2 linked regions of the Caenorhabditis elegans genome follow. The protein of the gene in region 1 purifies or fractionates together with the protein of each later gene. This does not show direct contact. Each region holds a gene or a part of one and is shown in the gene's direction. Other genes may lie near its edges.

Region 1 (7,932 bases):
GACAAACTGTAAAGTTAAAAAAATTGCATCTAAAATCAACAAGTTGAAGTTTAGAGCCGAAAAAAAATCAAAATTGGAATTTTTCACGAATGGCGCAGTGGGTAACACGGATGGTTACCACCCAGAAGGTCACAGGTTCGACCCCCCGTTGGGGTCAATTTTTTTTCTTGTTAAATTTGCTAGGATTCATCAATTTAAATGTCATAGAACACAGCTTAACTTTTAAATACAGATTTTCAACTCTAATTTGTTAAATATCAGTCTAAAATCCATAGTTTCCTAACTGAAAAAATAAAAATAACATATAAACCTAAAGTTTTAAGGTCAGAGCAAAAAAAAAGTCAAAATCCCAATTTTGCACGAATGGCGCAGTGGGTAACACAGATGACTACCACCCAGAAGGTCACGGGTTCGACCCCCTGCTAGGGTCAATATTTTTCTTTTTCACTCATACCAAACAATTTTAAAGCATAGTCTATTTGTTGGTTACGGTAGATGCCGATTCGTCCAAATAAAACGGGCAATTTACGATTTTGTTGATGATAAGATCGATGAGAGACGCAGAGACGGCGGCTGGCTACTCGCAAATTAGTAGTGACCGATATGCGGGGGAAAACTGATGATATCAGCTGATAAGGACATCCGGACACACAGAGCAGTTTTGGACTCAATTTGGGCCATGTATGGCATAGAGCCAATAGCGGTGACCAATTTTCCCTAATTTTTTGTGAGTTGTAACTTAAAAATTCAGATTCTCCGTGAAATTTGGATAGTTTTAACACCCATATTGGCTAGGTTTGAGCAACTTAAATATTTGGGCCGAAATAGGCTGAAATGAACCGAATTCAGGCCTAATATAGGCATGTTCCAAGTCATGATAGTTTTTAACTGCGTTGTCTTTAGCTTTAGAGTTTAAAAAAAATTTTGACTCTAGCGGGGGGTCGAACCCGTGGCCTTCTGGGTCATAGCCATCCCTGTTACCGACTGCGCCACTTGGTCGAAATTTTATTTTTTATCTTTTATTGCCAGAAGAATTATTTTAGGGCATTTTTCAAAGTTTCTGGCGTCAAAATATTGAAATTTTGGGTCGAACTATCCAAAAAACCGGTAAAATTCGAAAAACCCTTTGACAGATTCAAGATCTTAGTAAAAACTGCAAAATGTTACTTGCACACTTTCAAAAAATAATTAAATGTGTGAAACGCAATTGAAAAAAAAATGGCTACGCTGGGGGTCGAACCCGTGACCTTCTGGGTGCCAGCCATCTCTGTGACCTACTGCGCCATTTGAGCAAAAATTTTATTTTCCAACTTTTTTGTGTAATAACTCAAAATTCACGGTTAAAAGCGAATTTTATCGCAAAATCTGCCAATTTTTGTTCCGCAAGTCGTTGTTTTTCAAATTTCCACTGAGTTTTCCTTGTTTACCCCCCTTTCCCCTATGCCCCCTAGGTTCCCCGGGTAATCATTTGTTATCAGCGAGGTCTGCTATACATTTCCCTATTATTTCCGTCTCCAGCTTCTTTCTTCCTCTGCAAACTCTCGAAGCTTCTGCCCCAGTCGGTTACTATGGCAACCCCCTTCTTTAAGCTTCACCCCCTTCGTCCCGCTTAGACCCTTTATTCTCGATTTCCCGCATTTTATTATGTTTTTACTGAAATTTTTAGGTTTTAGGTATTAGAAATAGGTTGGTTAAAAAGTTTTGGAAAAGTTTAGTGAGTTTTGGAAATTTTTAGAATTTTTTAGAGCTAATTTTCGATTTTCCTGGAAATTATGTCCGATTTTGCGGTTTTTTGCAAATTTTTTGACCAAAACCTTGAAAAAAATGATTTTTTGTTAGTTAAAATTAGTTTTAGAAACGTTTTTTGAAAAATTTTTTTTTGGCATTTTTTCGAAAAAAAATGTTTTTTTCAAAAACAAAAAAAATTTTCCAGATTTCTCGTGTATGTCAGACGATGAGTGGGGAGATTTATTAGATGTGCGTTTTCAGCATATTTTCAAAAAAAAATTCGATATTTTATTCAGAATTTAGACACCGAACCACCCCAGCCAGCACCACCACCTCCCCCCAATTTGCCGGGAAATTCGAAAAATTCGCGGCCGAAAAGTAGTGGACTAGATTTTTTATTGGACTCTGACTTGGATAAGGTGATTTTGTGACTTCTTTTTGGGAAAAAACTGCGAAAAATCCAAAAAAAAAAGGCTTTTGGCCTATTTTGGCCTGAATTTTGGATGATGCTATAAGACTGATTTTCAGGAACCGCAGGCACCTAAAACTGTAAATTTTGCAACAAACCGGGAAGAAAATACATCTGAAATGAGAGCGGTAAGTTTAAAAAAAAAAATGTTTTTTGAAAATTTTTTTATTTTTTTTCTTGACCCAAATTTTTCTAAAAATCTGTATTTCAACGTTTTTATCTTACCTTAAGCTTTAAAATGACACCCATATCGCCTATACCCCGTTAATTTTCATTTTTGGATCAACTTTTGGGTGCCTACAGTATCCTCGTGGCGGGACCCTAAACATCAAAATTACGGGATTCTAAGCAATATTGGGGTTATTTGAAAGCTGGTAATATCATAAATGGCCTATCGAAGAGTAACATTCCAAAAATAAGACATTTTTCAAAAAAAAAATTTTTTTCAAAATTTCGAAAAAAAATTATTTTTCAAAATTTCCTAAATTCAGGCTGGTCGTTCTACAAATGCTCTCAGCGACCTATTTGGCACAAGCACGGGCTCTGGGCTTGGAGCATCAGGTGCGGCGTCGGCTCCACGGAGACCCGCAGGCGCCTCCACCCTCGACGACCTTTTTGGCACGGCGCCAAGAGCTGCTACAGTAACCCCAGGGGTTACTGTAGCCGCTCCGGCGGCTTCACAGCCAACGGCTACTGCTCCACCACCGGATAATTTTGATGCGGGAAGGATTTTGAGGTAAATTTGAAATTTTCGAAAAAAATTTTTTTTTCAAAAATTCAAAAAAAACTTAATTTTTAATTTTTGTTAATTTTCGTTACTTTATCACTTTCAGCTCACTGAGAGCTTTAAAATGACACCCATATCGGCTATACTACCCTAATTTTTCAAAATTTGGGCATTCTTCGAGTACCTACAGTACCCTTCGTAGCGGGACCCAAAAATCGGAAATTAGAGGACTATGGGCATAATGGATGTTATTTTGAAGCTAAAAAGCTGAAAAATGAGATAAATCAAACAAAAATTATCTGAAATCGATAATTTTGAGAAAATTTCAAAATTTAACGTTTTCGAAAAACACATTTTTTGAATTTTTTTCAAAAATTCGAAAAATTTCAAATTCAAATTTTTGTTCGTTTTTTGATATTTTATCGCCTTCAGCTCTCTGAGAGCTTCAAAATAACACCCATATCGGCTAGTTTCCGTCATTTTTCAAAATTTTAGAATATTTCGGGTGCCTACAGTACCACTCGTGGAGGGACCCAAAATCCAAAAACTAGAGGGTTCTGAGCATTATTGGGGTTATTTTGGAGCTGAAAACGTGAAAAATCGATCAAAAATAAATACTTTAATCATAAATCAATAAATATTGAGAAAATTTTGAAATTAAAAATTTTCGAAAAAAAAAATTTTTTGAAATTTTTTTTTCAAAAATTCAAAAAAAAATTTTAATTTTTAATTTTTTTAAATTTTGGCTATTTTATCACCTTCAGCTCACTGGGAGCTTCAAAATGACACCCATATCGGCTATACTACCCTAATTGTTCAAAATTTGGGCATTATTCGGGTACTACAGTACCCCTCGTGGCGGGACCCAAAATCCAAAAATTAGAGGATTATGGGCATAATTGGTGTTTTTGATGCTGAAAAATAGAGAAATCAATAAAGTCGATAGGAAATCAGCTTTAAAAAAACTTTCTTTGAAATTTTTTTTTCAAAAATTCAAAAAAAGTTATTTTTTAATTTTTGGTAATTTTGTTTTTTTTTCAGTATTTTATCACCTTCAGCTCACTGAGAGCTTCAAAATAACACCCATATCGGCTAGGTTCCGTCGTTTTTTTTTTAAATAAGAGCATAATGGATGTTTTTTTAGGCTAAAAAATGAAAAAATCGATAAAATCGATAGGAAATCAGCTAAAATCGGTAATTTTGAAAAAATTTTGAAATTCAAAATTTTTGGAAAATTTTTTTTTTAATTTTATATCAAAAATCAAATTCTGGAACAAATTTCTCAATTTTTTTCAAATTTCAGACTAGAAGCCGAGCTAGAACGTGTAAACCGTGAGCTTGAAGACACAAAACGCAAGAAACGAGAAGACGAGGAAGATTTGGAGAATTTCTGGAAAACCAAGCTGGAAATCCAGTCAAAAGACTCGGAAAAGGCACTGGAAGACTCAAAAACTGCACAAAGAGCACAAATTTCAAAGCTTCAAGATGAGCATCACGTGGAGCTCGAAAGGCTTAAAGCCAATTACGATAGGCAGCTAGAGAATGTGACGTCATCGACGAGTCAGGTTGGGGATCTAGTGGCAGTGGTGGGGAAAGTGGATACAATTTCTACGAATATTGATAAAATTGCGGCGGATGTGGTGTAAGTTGACTATGTGCCTTTAAAATTGAAAAATATTAAAAAATCGGTTTAAAAAATTTTAAAAATCGAAAAATTCGCCCCAAAACTTCAAAATTTTAAAATTTTGAGCAGATTTTCTGATTCTCCGTGCAAAATTACCCCTAACCCTCAATTTTCAGATTCAGATTTTTTGTGCAACTTTGCGTCAAATCCGGTGTCTTGAGTTACTGTACCTCGGTGTTTGCGTACCTGACACCTGATTTTACGGAATTTTGAGTTAGAGCTCTGAAAAATTAGGGAAAGAGGTAGTTTGGCATGGGTAATCTGGAAAATTATATAAAAATTTCAGGAAGTTTTTGGAAAACGCTGAAATTTTAGTAAAATCCAAAAAAGGTCAAAAATTCACAAACCAAGTGCGCAAACTTGGCCCAAAATTCAAAATGTTTGAATTTTGAGCTCATTTTCTGATTCTCCGTGCAAAACCACTCCTAGGCCTCAATTTTCAGATTTTTAGTGCAACTTTGCGTCAAATTTGGTGTGTTGGTACCTTCAGTAGTACCTTGGTGTTTGCGGACTGGACACCTGATTTTACGGAATTTTTGAAATTTTCGGGATAGGGGTAACTTGGCATGGGGAATCTGAAAATTCACACAAAAATTTATGAAACTTGAAAAAAAATCTTGAAATTTTAGAAAAAACAATTCAAAAATTAAAAAATTCGGGCCAAATCTTGGCCCAAACTTTGAAATTTTGAGCAGATTTTCTGATTATCCGTGCGAAGTTACCCCTAATCCTCCATTTTCAGATTTTTAGTGCAACTTTGCGTGAAATTCGGTGTCTTGGGTTACTGTACCTTGGTGTTTGCGGACCTGACACCTGATTTTACGGAATTTGGAGCTAGAGCTCTGAAAAACTAGGTCTAGGGTAGTTTTGGATGGGGAATCTGAAAATAGACATGAAAATTTCTGAAAATTTACAGAATCCTCTAAAAATCCTGAAAAAGTTGAAAAATCATGATTTACGCAAAACAGTCCTTAAAAATTTGTTTTTTTTCAAATTTTTCCTTCAGAGCTATTGATTCTGGTGCTAAAAACAAATTACAAGTATTGATTTTCCAGAGCAAGCACCAATAAAGTGAGCTCGGAGCAAAGCGCTCTTTTCCACTTGCAAGAGGAACTGCTGAAAATTCGAGAGACAAAGTGAGTCATATCTCAGTAGCCAAGCTTGCTATCAAAAAATTGTCAACTAACAACTTGTAGCTCTTGTTACGGAGCACATTTTGTCAGTTGAAAATTTTTCGATAGCTCTGCGGGTTCTCAAGTTATGAAGCTTCAGGCTCTCCGAGGATGTGGCGGCTCTGAAGCTTGAGCAACTGAAAGTTCATGAGCTTAACCTAAGCTTGAAGGATTTGGTCAAAAATCAACAGGATGAAAATGAACAAGTATGTAATTAGAGTACAATGTTTAAAATGTATTGGAAAGTTTTGAAATTTTTGAAATTTTTTTTTTAATTTTCAAAAAAAATTTTGAAAAATTTTTTTAAAAATTTTTTCTGAAAATTTCCAAAAATTCAAGGAAAAATGGAGGACAAAAGAGGAGTGGAACCGTCTGAAAATTGAACGTCAAATTTTCAAGGAAAATCAAGACCGAGTCATTGAAAATGTGCAGAGAGAGAAGCTGGACCTGGCTAATAAATTGGTATGCTCCCCCCTCAAAATTTTTGGAATTTTTATAAAATACGCTCAAACATTTCAGAAATTCTACCACAAAGATCAAACCGAGCTGCTTTTCCGGCTGAGCAGTGAACGGGAGCTTTTGGAGCAGGAGAAGAGCGAATTCTTTGCGTAAGTTGGGTTATCAACAGAGCTACGGGGAAATCTAAACTAGTAAAGCGCAAAATTTTGAACATTTTCTTAGTTGGAAATTTTTCGCTAGCTATCACCGTTGCAGAGATACACCGCTTCAAAGTCTGCGCGCGAAATAGTGTGGGGGAGGAGAGACGCAGGCGCGCACCCTGCGTCTCTCCCCCCTCCACACTGTCTCGTCGCTGTAACTTTAAAGGCGCATAACTCTTCAGCCGGTAGAGATATCAAAAAATTTTCAACTGCAAAAATAATCAGCGTGAAATTCTGCGTCGGGTGAGCTATTCTATAAAAATTTTTCGACTGCCGGGTGGCTCAGTTGGGTAGAGAGATGGCTATCACGCACAGGTCCCTGGTTCGATTCCTTGTATAATATTGATGAGAATTATACGTTTTTTTTTCTAGAAAACGGGACCAGGACATCAAGAGAATCAAAGCAGAAGCCTACGAGCTGGATCTGAAATCTCAGCAAATTTCTACGGCTGACCAACATGTGACGGAGATGAAGCTGGTGACAGAGGCCAAGTACAGACAGGTTGGTTGTAAATTTATCGATTTTTTGAAAAATTATCGATCTTTTGGAAAAATTATCGATTTTTTGAGAAAGATCGATTTTTCGGAAAAATATCATTTTTTTGGAAAATGTATCGATTTTTAGGAGTTTTATCTATTTTTTGAAAAATTTATCGATTTTTTGGAAAATGTATCGATTTTTAGGAATTTTATCGATTTTTTGAGAAATTTATCGATTTTTTGAGAAATTTATCGATTTTTTGGAAAATGTATCGATTTTTCCCAATTTTCCCACTTTAAAAATCCCCAAAATTCCTTCAGCTTCAACACCTCGAGACCCTGCTCACCGCCGAATGCTCGGAAATCGAAAGAATCCGAAATGAGCAAAAAATCGGTGGAAACGTGGATTCGGGCCGGGACGCACGAAGAATAAGCCGTGAGGAGGAGCTGTTTGGTTCGAATAATTCCAATCAAAATAGTCATCGACATCGATCGGAAAGTGTTCGGGCTTCACTCAAAAAACACTATGAAAATTTGGAAAAATACGCCGGGCAGAAGGTTGCTCATGTTGCGCCGCAGAATAATTGAGTGATTATCGAGTTTTTGGTGGAAATATCGATTTTTTAAAGAATTATTGATTTTTGATTTTTTACGACTACAATTGTGATAAAAAATGTAGAATATTGTAATGTTTTGAAATAATAAATTTATTATCGATTTTTTTTAAATTTCGATGGATTTATCGATTTTTTGGTGAAAATATTGATTTTTTTAAGAATTATCGATTTTCGGCATTTTTATAACTAAAATTGTGAATTAGTACATTTTCAGTCAATTTTTGGCGGGAAATTCAAAAATTCAAATTTTCAATTAATTTTTGGCGGGAAATTCAAATTTTCAGTCAATTTTTGGCGGGAAATTTGAAAATTCAAAGTTTCAATTAATTTTTGGCGGGAAATTCAAATTTTCAGTCAATTTTTGGCGGGAAATTTAAAATTTCAATCAATTTTTGG
Region 2 (5,491 bases), on another chromosome or scaffold:
ATTTCTCTATTAGTCTTGCTTGCAAAATTAATTTTCGCATTGCTCGTAGGGGGTGCAAGACTAATAGAAGCTGCAGGACTAATAGAGGAAATACGGTATATAGTTGTACGTTATAAATTTTTCAAAAGTTTTCAGCTTTTGAATGCCAATTCAGCGTGGCTGCTCATTAGGAAACTACTGAATTTATACATGAGAATAATAATTTTTTAACGAATATACTTGCAAAAAAAAAGTGTTGTCTCGCACCTTTTTTTTCTCTTCTGGGGGTTTCCGAAGATTTTGGATATTCAATATGTAATTTCAAATATGAAGTCTCTTCAACGAAGAAAATATCAAACAATTTATTTCAGGTGCTGAAGCTGGGAAATATAATATAAGAAAAACGGGAAACCCCCGTTCACATTGACAATTATGGCTGAATGTACATACCCGAATTTGAGTTAGTTTCGCGCGCGAATGATGTTTTGCGGAAATTCAATCTTATTGTTTTTTGTACATATATATGCTTATTGTGATTGATTTCTTTATATTTTGTTGATAGTTTTCTATATACAGAAAGTTTTCAAATATTTTTCAAAAATGAACCTCTTTCTAAAAAATAATGGACCTTCTGGAAATTTTTCTAAAAATTCATGGCGATTCAAATTTCATTTTTTAATTGAATTTTCATTACTGAAAACGGACTTTTCTCGGTTTTTTTCTTCAATTTTTGAAACGTGCTGAAATGTACTATTCAATAAAATCCAATAATCCTGAAAAGTAGACCACAACGTAGCACACACGAGTAATTAGCGTGTTCCCTTTTTTTGTTGGTCTCTGAAATCGTGGCAATACGTGGATTCAAAAATTCATAAAATATGACGTCACAAATTTTTACATAGTGCAATTTTCATTTAAAAAATCATCGTGGCGTCAAAGCATTAAAGCCATGTGGCGCCCTAATTTCCAGAGGTCAACCTAAGATGGGACAATCTAAATACCCATAACCACAAGAAAGTAGAAAAAAAAATGGATTGTATTATTATGTTTGTCCATATAAAAAGATAAATAAAAATTAGAATTATTGACCAAATTAGTTTGTTTTTTTTTAAATAAGTAGTCTAGTATACTTGTAACTATATATTTTTCTAACGCCTACTACAAATGACGTCATATTCAATTTCAGCTGCCTTAAACAAATGACATTTTTTACGTTTCGTTCATATAGCCTATTTCACGTTTTTGCCTACTATTCTAGATTTTGGAACTTATGTTTTTTTTTAAACGAAAGTTATAAGTACCTCAATATTAAACAGGAAATTATAAATTTAAACATATCTCTACAATAAATGTTAGCATTCGGCTTATAAACAATTTGTTTATGTTTTTATCAAATAAAAACAGTGTATATTTAAATAAAGGATTATTTCTATTTGATTTCCACAATCGCGGGAAACCTCTGAACATTAAATCATAATTTTTGATCTACATGAGAAGCTTCTACTTTGTTTTTATAGAGCTAAGAACGAGTCAATGAAAAAATTATATTGTTAGATGAAGATTGTTTTCCTAAAAGTTTCGATGTGATTTTCATAATATATGTAAATCTGCTAAAAACAAAATTTTCCACGATTTCTTGTACTGGTCGCAATTTGACCACCATTTATAACATTCCAGTCTACTTTCTTCTTTGTTTTCACCCATTTTTCTGACGTATTATATAATCAGAAAAAAATACAATATATTGTGCGAAAATTAAAGAATTGTAATCAGTCACAAAATACCTCAACTAAGACACATTATTCTGCTGCTCTCATCGTCTCACGCACTCTTTGCGCGTAAGGTGGTCTCCATGACAACGTGCCCCCTGCCTCAACAACTCGCCACACAGCGCCACCTGATATTAGCGTGCTCTCTCTCTCTTGCGTGTATTACCGCTGTTTCATTCCTCTTTTTTGTCAGCATTTTTCACCTTAATATTGTTTTTCATGTATTTCATGTTTTTCGCAACTTGTAATGAGATTTTTGCAGTAAAAGTGCGATGAGCGTTGAGGAAACTCGGGAAATTCTTGAGAAAGTAATTCAAAAACCACAACTAACTGATCAACTGCTTTCACGACCACCATTCAAATTTATTGTTGATATAGTTAGCAATGTGATAAAGTCTACGGGGTATTTGAAGGTGGGTATTTGAAAATTTTATTCATAATAAAAAATTATGCGCGAAAATGTAGATTTTAAGAAATGTAATGTGGTATGAGAAAAAAAGAGAAAAAACCAGTGCCCAACTTTAGTTTTAAAGTTTTCGTTTGTCAGTGATGCGAAGTTTTTGGTCAGTGCTGTGCCAAGTTACTCAGTGCTGTGCCAACTTGGTCAGCGCATAAATTTTCGCTAAATTTTCATTTTAACAGACTGACTTCACCGACGATGAAATAAAGTCCGCTGGCAACGACAAAAACACCAAAACTGCCTTTCTTGACAAGCTGATCAAGATTCTAGATGACGGAAGTCTCAAAAACGTCAAAGCCGCCAAAATAATATCGGGGAAGGACGCGGAAGAAACCAACAAAGTGAGTTTACATTCTATTAACAAGAAATATCTGTAATGAAAAAAGAAGGCGCAGAATTTTAAACAGAATTTACAATTCGATGTGAAGTCGCTTCAATCAAATTTTAAAAAATCTGGTCAATCAGAAATTTTTTTTTAACTTAAAAAAAAAATTCGATTTCTTCCGTAAATTATATCAAACTAAATTAGTGCCCTAATCATTTTTTCTATTTAAATTTTCTGATTTTTTGTGATAAAAATATGCTTAATAGTAAGATAAAGTATTTAAGCCGTTTTCAACTTGGTCAGTGCATTACCAGATTGGTCAGTGCTACACCAAGTTAGCCATTGCTTTCGCTCGTCTCAGTTCTTAGTGCTTTTTTTACCTTTTACATTTATTCAGATGCTGCAAATGTTGGGAACAAATGCTACGAGTTTCAATTCAAGGAATGGTACCGGAGAGGAGAAAAAGAAGAAAAAAGTAAAGAAAGAGGACAAAAAGGGAGATGAAGAAGAGAAGTCAACTACTAAAAAACGTAGCAGTAAGAAGGTAGAGTGCACTTTTAAATATTTGTTTCCCCATAAACTCAGTTTTATCATTTTAAGGAAACGCATGAAGAGAAGGAAAAATCGGAGAAGAAAAAATCTGCAGAAGAGAAAGAGAAGAAGAAAAAGTCTTCGAGTTCAAAAGAACGGCATAAGTCTAGTGACAGGTCTAGCGAAAAGTCAAGCGAAAAGTCCAGCAAGGAGAAAAAGAAGGAAAAGAGCACAACAGACGAAAAACCCAAAAAGAGCAAAAAAGACCCGAGTGAACGGCATTTTAAACGACAAGACTCAATGATTGCTGTGAATGGAGATGCACCGGATACTCCGAACAATGAGAATGGAGATGAGGGTTATGACGATCATGAGATTTCTGAACCAACTGTTATATCAAATATGGAAACTGATTTGTCAGCTCAATCACTACTGATCCAACAGCCAGTGACGTCACCCTTGAAAACTGATGATAGTGGGATGGGTGAGAGCCCGAGAATGATCAAGCCCGAAGATAGACCCCCGTTGATAAGGTAACCTCTTACGGATTGGGTTTATCTTCAGTTCATTTTAAAAAATGTAGTGCACACTTAAATAATTTTCTGAAATTGAATTATCCGGCAAATTTTTGGCTTCAACATTGTTGGTTTACTCCTTCTTTGACCAACATTTTTTCAAATTCTAGAATAAGTTGTCAAAGTGAAATTTACACTGAGATTGAGATGATGATACACACAGTTTAATCAGCTTTTGACATAGAAAATTCCAGACCAATGACTGGTGCTGGAGGTGGTAGACCTATGACATCAATGGGAAGACCCGGAACCGCGGCTTCAAGGCCAGCGCCTCCAAAACTGAAAAAGAAACAAATTGCGACTGTTGACTCAACGCCACAAGTGGTAATAACATTGTTAATCAGTTTATTAATTCAATTTTGATACCACTTTAGGTAGTCGAACTCAAATCGGAAATCATCAGCGATGCTCCAAAAGTGGAAACCGAAGACGATAGCAATTTTATAATGGAAAATGACGAGGAAGATGGTGATAGAACCGCTAGAATTGAAGATTTAGTTGATGAAGAAGATAGAGGAGCTTTGGTGCAAAAAATCATGGAGACGAAGGCTGAAATTGAAGATGGAGGAGGACAGGATCAGGTTGAAGAGTCCGATGCTGATAAAATTATGACAGTTGAAAGAGAAAAGATGAAGCAACTGCAGGAGAAGCTTCAGGATTTAACAAGATCTGCTTATCCGCTAGCAAGGCTTTTTGATTTTGCAAATGTGAGTTTAATGAATTTCAGACAGTTTGAAAAACTTGGAAATGCCCGAAATTTTCCGGGCTCCTACGAATTTATACAGACAACGGAAGATGCTAGGGCTTTCAAATGAAAGTTGTTTTGGATGATGTATTGATACATACCGTATTTTCTCACTACCTTTGCACTACTTTACTTTGACAGCTTATGCATATCGTGAATTTTTTTTAATCAACATTTTTTAATTGGGGTTTTTTTTATATTTAATTTCAGTGCACGTAAGTACTATTTTACACATAAAATCAATTTTTTGACATTACATTCGTTATAAAAAATATATTTTTCAGGACGACATCGAATCAATGATTAAAGAACTGGAGCGATGGAGAAGTGAGCAGCGACGGAATGAGCAAGAGGATCAGAACAAAAAAGCGGCAGGATTCGGAGACAGCAGTAGACTCTACAACATCATCGCAAACTTACAAAAAGAAATCAATGACACGAAAGAAGAATTGAGCAAGGCTAGAGGACGAGTTCTCAACAATGAAAAACGCATTCAACTATTCATTTCCAATGTTTGATCTTTCAGTTTTCCCTATTCAGAAGGAGATTTTCATTTTATTGAATTAAATGAAAAGATAAACAAATAAATTATTTTATATTACTTAGAGCTTTGATACAATGTTACAAATTCGAATGAAAATTGAAGTTGCACCAATATGTTGTTGTAACTAAAACTAAAACTAAAATGTAACTAAAATGTTGTAACTAACAAAATGTTTTGTTTAGGTCCAACACTATTTCTTATTGGAGACAAAGTGGAGGAAATTTCCAATGCCACTCCTTAGCTAATTAATTATTAATTGTCTAAAAAGTCCTTTTCAGGATTAGTTTTAAATTCCCGAGCGTTCAACACTTTTTTTGATTGACAATGGCTTTTTCAAATTTACAATCAAGTTTATATCAAGTTTATAATTTATTTGTAACCCAAACAAAGAAAAAGAAACGTTTTTAACAGACCAGTTTGTTGGAATAACACAAAACTCAAGACGGATGGGATAAAAAAGTTGAATTAGTGCCCGATGGGCAGTCATTCGATGGTTTTGAAAAGAAAAAAGAACCCGCATGGGCAATGCAAAAAGGAAAAATGAACATTTTGATAAAATTACA

Evidence for each region.
Region 2: the proteins of dyf-19 (region 1) and dyf-11 purify together in Caenorhabditis elegans (affinity purification with western blotting, with the first as the bait; one study listed by BioGRID). This does not show direct contact.

Annotation. Positions count from the first base shown.
Region 1 is NC_003283.11:19,623,118-19,631,049, forward strand, and holds dyf-19 (Fas-binding factor 1 C-terminal domain-containing protein), read left to right. Parts: upstream 1-1,931; 5' UTR 1,932-1,944; coding exon 1,945-1,977; intron 1,978-2,024; coding exon 2,025-2,147; intron 2,148-2,256; coding exon 2,257-2,325; intron 2,326-2,688; coding exon 2,689-2,933; intron 2,934-4,227; coding exon 4,228-4,566; intron 4,567-4,769; exon of another isoform or gene 4,770-4,827; intron 4,828-5,663; coding exon 5,664-5,744; intron 5,745-5,880; coding exon 5,881-5,986; intron 5,987-6,119; coding exon 6,120-6,242; intron 6,243-6,299; coding exon 6,300-6,388; intron 6,389-6,710; exon of another isoform or gene 6,711-6,782; intron 6,783-6,811; coding exon 6,812-6,941; intron 6,942-7,240; coding exon 7,241-7,507; 3' UTR 7,508-7,644; downstream 7,645-7,932.
Region 2 is NC_003284.9:761,749-767,239, forward strand, and holds dyf-11 (TRAF3-interacting protein 1), read left to right. Parts: upstream 1-2,003; 5' UTR 2,004-2,020; coding exon 2,021-2,161; intron 2,162-2,390; coding exon 2,391-2,549; intron 2,550-2,930; coding exon 2,931-3,077; intron 3,078-3,133; coding exon 3,134-3,597; intron 3,598-3,833; coding exon 3,834-3,963; intron 3,964-4,013; coding exon 4,014-4,346; intron 4,347-4,668; coding exon 4,669-4,902; 3' UTR 4,903-4,991; downstream 4,992-5,491.